Oryza sativa Japonica Group: one gene and its partner. The protein of the gene in region 1 binds, or shares a complex with, the protein of each later gene. Links are inferred from orthologs where the notes say so. Each region holds a gene or a part of one and is shown in the gene's direction. Other genes may lie near its edges.

Evidence for each region. The genes of interacting proteins can lie anywhere in the genome.
Region 2: nucleolar complex-associated protein 3 (region 1) and nucleolar complex protein 2 homolog share a complex: the UniProt entries of both Arabidopsis thaliana proteins name them as parts of the nucleolar complex. The link is inferred for Oryza sativa Japonica Group from reciprocal best matches to the Arabidopsis thaliana genes AT1G79150 and AT2G18220.

What each region holds. Positions count from the first base shown.
Region 1 is NC_089040.1:18,357,443-18,361,779, forward strand, and holds the end of nucleolar complex-associated protein 3, read left to right. Parts: intron 1-159; coding exon 160-323; intron 324-585; coding exon 586-724; intron 725-939; coding exon 940-1,110; intron 1,111-1,193; coding exon 1,194-1,330; intron 1,331-1,476; coding exon 1,477-1,791; intron 1,792-2,403; coding exon 2,404-2,543; intron 2,544-2,722; coding exon 2,723-2,820; intron 2,821-2,906; coding exon 2,907-3,419; 3' UTR 3,420-3,723; downstream 3,724-4,337. UniProt on the Arabidopsis thaliana protein: May be required for synthesis of 60S ribosomal subunits and the transport of pre-ribosomes from the nucleoplasm to the cytoplasm. Also required for initiation of DNA replication.
Region 2 is NC_089044.1:19,542,502-19,545,417, reverse strand, and holds the end of nucleolar complex protein 2 homolog, read left to right. Parts: coding exon 1-53; intron 54-146; coding exon 147-203; intron 204-378; coding exon 379-705; intron 706-784; coding exon 785-991; intron 992-1,068; coding exon 1,069-1,155; intron 1,156-1,240; coding exon 1,241-1,335; intron 1,336-1,553; coding exon 1,554-1,688; intron 1,689-1,773; coding exon 1,774-2,095; 3' UTR 2,096-2,384; downstream 2,385-2,916. UniProt on the Arabidopsis thaliana protein: Together with SWA2, probably involved in pre-ribosome export from the nucleus to the cytoplasm.

The sequences.
Region 1 (4,337 bases):
ATTGTCTTGTTGAAAAGGTACACATAATGTGTATAACGTGCATATATCATGCCATGCACTATAGCCGAATGCAGTTACATTTTCCTTGCATTCGGAAGTTAGTTTCAGAAGTTATATTTCTTGGGTTTGATTTTCCTTTGCTCTTCTATGCTTTTTCAGGCATACCTGCAAAAGTTAATCTCCTTGGAGAAGCAACCAAATTTTTCCGCTCTGGCTGTTCGTTGCATGTGTACTTTACTAGATACTGCTCCACATTTCAACTTCCGTGAAAGTATACTTGCCAGCGTGGCAAGAAATTTAAGTTCTCCAGATGATGCAGTGAGGTTGACTACGTAACCTGTATTAATTTATATCAAAATCATTGTTTCCTGTTAGATGTTGATTTAGCTGTGCAACTGATTTCCTTGAATAATGTCTTGTGTAGTTTGATTTGTGGATCATCTGTTTTTTATTTATTTAATTTTTGATCATCTGATGGTCTAAATTGTCTACTTAAAATGATGGGAAACACTGGGTTACCTTTTTAGCCAACTGTTCCATTTAATGTTGTCCTCACATTCTTGCATTTCCCCCAATTCTTTGTAGGAAAATGTGTTGTGAAACGATAAGGTCTCTATTTGTAGATGAAGGAAAGCATCGTGGTGAGGCAACTGTTGAAGCTGTGAGATTGATTGCTGATCATGTGAAGCTAAACGATTGCCAGCTTCATCCTGATAGCATTGAGGTATGTGCCAATATTTGTATTTATTACATGTGATATGTGGTTATTATTTGTCTTGTCGCATCTTCACCATGCAATTAATATGTTAATGGACTTACTTCACCAGCTTGGGCCCTATGGGCAGCAGCTCATTCCTAGCTGCTGACCACTGCCCCATTTCATCCAACATAGCTGAAAATCAACTCCATGTGCTAATCGTGGCCACTTTTTTCTGTAAGGTCTTCCTATCTTTGAGATTTGATGATGATCTTGGAAAAGATGACACAGAGGAAGAAAAGGGAAAACCAAAGAAGAACAAACGACGACAAAACCAGGAAGTCCCAAAGCAATTGCCAGTGAGTGATAATAAGAAAGCCAAACAGGAATTGATCTCAAAGGCTAGAGAAGAGGTAACATTTGTTGCATAATTTGATAGGTATAGCTCAAACTGTATAAGAAATTCACTTATTTATTATTATTACTATTTTTGCAGGTTGATGCTGAACTTAGATCTGTTTCCTTTACTCTTGATCCAAAGGAAAGGAGAAGGATACAGAAAGAAGCACTCTCTGCTCTTTTTGAGACTTACTTTCGGATTTTGAAGCATAGCATGAGTATTTCAAATTCCAGGTATGTGCACTTTAATGTTGTCACACTAGTTTTTGCCATAACAATTTCATTACTGGCATTGTACCATTCGAGTTTATCCAATATGATAAACTTTCACTTACTTTGGAATAAAGTTACTATGCTGACAGTCATTATATCATCATCAGGGGCAAGGTCATTAATGTCTCCCCAGATGGCTCACACCCACTACTTGCTCCATGTTTGGAGGGTTTAGGAAAATTCTCACACTTAATTGATTTGGATTTCATGGGTGAACTTGTCGCGTGCCTCAAGAAGCTTTCTGGGTATACCGACCATCACTCTGGCACAGTACATGACAATACACTGTCTGTATCAGAACGTCTGCAGTGCTGCATAGTTGCATTTAAAGTCTGGAGGAGCAACCTTGAAGCTCTGAATGTAGACCTGCAAGACTTCTTTGTGCAGCTTTTTAACCTCATTCTGGAGTATCGGCCTGACAGGTTTGAATTCTATTTATTTTGGTGCTGGTGATGGGGAAGAAATATATATACTCTTGTCCTTTCTAAAACACAGATTCATGGATAGGTAGCATCATAGCAAATTTTTCTTCCGTTATTTTTTGCTTACATTACTTATTGTTGGTCAGTGTTTCACCATTGAAATGCTTATTATTACTCATAAATAACTACTCCCTCCGTTTCACAATGTAAGTCATTCTAGCATTTCCCACATTCATATTGATGTTCAATGCTAGAATGACTTACATTGTGAAACGGAGGAAGTAGTTATGTACAGCTATACCACATAACCATGCTGATTACTGACAATGCATTTTATCATGTACTCCAATGCCGATTATAATGTATAATAGAAGAACATTATACAGTCTTGCATATGGTAAGCACCATTTTATTAATGTGGAGGCAGCAGTGACCAACATGTTTAATTCATGGCTTATGGCGGTCCACTTTGTGTCTTCCATCAACAATACACTTTCAGAATGTTTTCGTGTTGTCATTTTTTGGTAAATCGAATGGTGGTTATGTCTAAGATAGCTGTTGCAAAGTTTTCAAGTAACTTAAGAACACAACCTGATTTCTGTCTCTATCCAGAGATCGTGGTGAGGTATTAGCTGATGCTCTGAAGACACTTCTCTGGGAAGGCAAACAGCAGGATATGATAAGAGCAGCTGCTTTCATTAAACGCCTAGCAACCTTTGCTTTGTCCTTTGGTTCTGCAGAAGCCATGGCAGGTTTGTGTTTGTTTTGCCTTGCACTTTCCCAGTCTTTCTACCTTGATTGTAGTCCAAATATTAGATCCATTGGGGTACGTTTGTTTTTCCTTCCTGGACAGTACATAATATGTATTAAGTACAAACATCTGTTTCATTTCCTTTGACATAATTGCTGACATATTTGAACAATATTTCAGCATTAATCACACTGAAGCATCTTCTTCAAAAGAATAGCAAGTGCAGAAACATGTTGGAAAATGATTCTGGTGGTGGCTCCCTGTCTTGCTTAGTTGCGGTATTTGTCTACCCTTGTGTTGTGCAATTCATCAACATCAATTACAGCTTGTGTTTACCTAATAATGCTACCTTTCATTTGTGCAGAAATATGACCCAGAAGCTAAAGATCCTTATCTGAGTGGGGCACTTGCCTCAGTCCTATGGGAGCTTAGCCTTCTGCAGAAGCATTACGATTCCTCTGTTTCCTCAATGGCCTCAAATATCTTGAGCATGGCCAATTTGAATCCTACACAGAATCCTGTTCCAATTTCAAATGCAAGCCCTCTAGAAGCATATAGAGACTTGTCAATGGAACGGAAATTGTCTAAACCAGCGAATAAATTGTTGCCACTAAACTGCAGAAAGAAGAGGCGTGGTAAGGAGTTTGTTGCCCTAAGCCCTGCAGCGCTCGAGGGATCAGATTGCGTTGCGGGTGGAGATGAACTCAAAGAGAAGTTAAAAAATCATTTTGCGGTACTAAGAGGTATCTCAGAGAATGAGAGATTGAGAGCTGAGCTGAACCACACGTTGTCATCCATCAACTTGTACAAGGAATACAAGAAGCAGAAGAAAAGCAGGAAATCAAAGGCTGTTAAGAAAAAGGTTTCAAGGGCTTAAGTTGTGCTGCGTTTGGGGGAAATTTTTGCACACCAGGGACCAAAGGTGTGCAGAATGAACAATTTTGCCATACCCACTTTGTAGCTTATCGTAGCTTTTGGGTGTAACACATTTGCAGTTCCAAGCATTTCTTTTTAAGCTCGTTCTATTTCCTGACATGTCCTTTTATTCTTGTTGCCTGGACCTAACCAGGCTAACAAGTTTGCTGCCGCTGTACAAGATATAACAGTGGCATGCTTGTGTTATCTATATATATTGTTATGCATGAACAATGCCATCCCCTATGCAAAACTACAGATTGGTAGTCGCAAGGTGTAGGGTGCTCGCGCAGAAAGGGGGAAAAATAGTAGGTTTTACTGTCCACTAGCAAAATATCCATGTTTTGCTATGTTAAAGTACACATTTATTTGAATATATGTTTTTCATATTTAAACATATATTAGACTATTGCATAATGGAGGACATACTGGGAACTAATTTATAAAACATGCGAATGCAGGTAGCATAACTATCACTGTTATCTTTTATTGAGGTATATAGATTTGTATCATTATTCACCTAACATCTCAATTGACATATATTTATAATTAGGGACGCAAACGACTCGGAAACGGATTAAGCAAACACCTAACCACACTAAGGCTGTGTTTCTATAGTTCTACTCCCTTCGTCCAAAAAAGTTTAATGAACATAGATAAGAGTATGTCCAGATTCGTTGTACTAGAAAACTTTATCTAATACTAGGTTGAGTATTTTTGGGACGGAGGGAGTATTTTTGGGACGGAGGGAGTAGTTCTGTTGAGGACATCCCAGTTATGACTATACCAAGTTCAACTACTGCTACACGTGATCAAGTAATGGAAGGACTGATTAGATGCATCTATAGATGAGAATGTTATACTACCTAAACGTTCTACT
Region 2 (2,916 bases), on another chromosome or scaffold:
TCCGTCAACTGGCAGTCATCCTAAGGGGAGCTCTTACTGAAAGAGGACCAAAGGTATGTGTAGTTGAACTCTGATGATCATATACTGCAATGTAATTATTTACTTGGCAGCTGACAAGTTTTGTGGTCCCTATTTCATTTTGCAAGACATCGAAGGACAAAAAGCAGAAAGAAAGTATCAAACCAACGAAGAAACGGATGGAGGTATGTCATTATTCCAATGTTGCATATGTACTATCGAGGAATAGAGTCCACTTTGGGATAACACTATTGCTTTCTTTCTTATGTTAGTTTAGTTTTACTCTCTATTCTATATTCTATTACTCTAACTGAGCCTTTCTTTTCTGACTTGTTATTTGCTGACCTTGTTCTTGTGTAGAAATCCTACCAAAAAGTTTATGATTGGCAATACATATTCTGCCTTGAGCTTTGGACAAGTGTTGTGTGTGGATGTAGTTCTGAGGAAGACCTTCGACCTTTGGCTTATCCACTAACCCAGATAATACATGGTGTGGCATGCCTGGTACCAAGTGCGCGTTACTTTCCTGTACGCCTGAGATGTGTGAAGATGCTTAATCGCATTGCTGAAGCTACTGGTACCTTCATTCCGGTGTCTTCCCTGCTGCTTGATATGCTGGAAATGAAAGAACTTGGAGGGAAACCAGATGCTGTAGGCAAAGCAGTGAATCTGTTCAGTGTTAAACAGGTATATTTTCTCGTAATACAACACTTCCTTTGGGAGGACTACTTTGAAAAAACTTTTAATAGGTACTTTTGTCTGGCAGGTAGATAAGAAAACAGTGAAGACACGTGCCTTTCAGGAAGCATGCATCTTTTCCGCGGTTGATGAGTTGGCTAAGCATTTGGCCCAATGGAGCTACTCCATTGCCTTCTTTGAGATGTCCTTTTTAACACTTGTCCGGCTTCAAAACTTTTGCAAAACCGTTAAGGCTGACAGATTCCGGAGAGAGATCAAAGATCTTATCCATCAGGTTTGTGAAGCATGTAAGAGAGAATTGTACCTAACTGAATGCATGTATGCTGATGTTTGTATCCTTTGTGATTCCAGATAAAGGCTAGTGCTGAGTTTGTAAGCTCAAAGCGTGCAGGAATTGGATTCTCTCCTAATGATCCAGCCGTGGATTCATTTCTACAGGTATGGTTGGTCCTGTTGGATGTGCACTGTATATTTGTTATACTCATTTAGTGTCATTTTGTGAGATATATAATGTTCATTTCAGGTTGAGAAGGAAGCAAAGTCAAGTCCTCTATCAAAATATGTTGCTACTCTACATCAGAGAAGTCAGGACAGGATGGACTCTCTGGACGACACAAGGTTGGTTACTTGGTTTCATTGATGTTCATCTAAATTTAGGAGTCAGCCAGTTGAGTCGTAGCACTTATAAACAGAAATGCACCAATTTTTTTTTACCTCGTCGTCTTATCATGCAACATTTTCTAGTAGTCTTTACATGTGAGTGGAGCTATGCTTGATGCTCCATATTGCGAGTACATATAATTAATAAAATTACTGATCATTCTTTTCCCTATCAGCGTTATTGTGGGGGCAGAGTCCTCAACCTTTTCACGGAGGTTGTCAGAAGCACAGAAGCGACAGGATGAACAAGATGATGGCGAAGACACCATTGCATTCAGTAAGAACTTGTTGACTGAAAAGAAGAAAACCAAGTACGCTATCACCTTCCTCTTTGCCTCTTTTTGTTTCTTTTATTGGAATGGTAGACGTTATATGTTTCCTTTCGGGGGTTTGCAGAACTCCAAAGGAGAAGAGCAAGAAGCGAGCCCATAATCACGACGATGTCGCTACGGAGGAGGATATTGTTGAGGATTTGATCTTGAGTTCAGACGAGGAAGACGAAGATGAGGACAAGAATATGGAATCAGATGAGGATGATGGCTCTATGCCTGTTGAAGATGACAGCGATGACGATTTCGTCGACCCAGACAGCCAGTGGAAGAAACAGAAGAAAGAGAAATCAAAGAAACGGAACAAGCGGCAACCCTCAAAGAAGGGTTCGTCAACAACAAAAAGAAAAGAGAAAATCCCACATCCCAAGAAGAAGGCGAAGCATTAGCCAGAGATAATGAAAACGATGATGATGTGTTTTCAATTTTGAAAGAAACAGACGCATCATGAAAATTTTGTTTTAATTGAGAAAGACCTCTGCCATTTCGTTGCGTTCCTTCACCGTTATTATTTATTTATGTATGCTTAATCGTTCAGCTTGGCTGATGTTGTTGATTTTGCTCCATACATTTTTCTTTCTGGCAGATTGTGTGCTGAGTTAAACAAGTGATAATTTCCTTGGGGAAAAAAAAGAGAACGCGAAAATAGTATTGAACAGGCTACAACCTTTGTAAGACATGAAATCAGTCTTAACTAGTGCGAATCATGGGGATATTCCACTACTTTGCACGGCTTAAATTATTGTCCATGAATCGGTGGACCTGTGATTTTCAGTTCTGATTGTAAACTGGTACTAGCATATGAAGCTACATTTGACCAAGCCATGAGAAAAATTAGGACTAATTCCTTTTTCTAAAACAAAATCTCCACGACTTTAGATCACTGATAATTCAGTAGGGGAGAACAACGAGCCTCATTATTTCAATTTGCTCCGTTGCCAAAGTTATTCACACCATTATATATCAACGCTAACTTAATTAAGAGCTCCCTTGTCTTAACACTAGCCCTTGACATTTGTCTTAACACTAGCCCTTGGCATTTGCAAAGCTCTGTACAATTAACCTAAACCATAAAAATATTTTCAAACCATATAATATTTTCAACTAAACAATACTGCTACCTCCTTTTCATATTATTAGTTGTTTTGACTTTCTTCTAGTCAAACTTTAGGTTCAATCAAGTTTGTAGAAAAATTTAACATCTACAGCA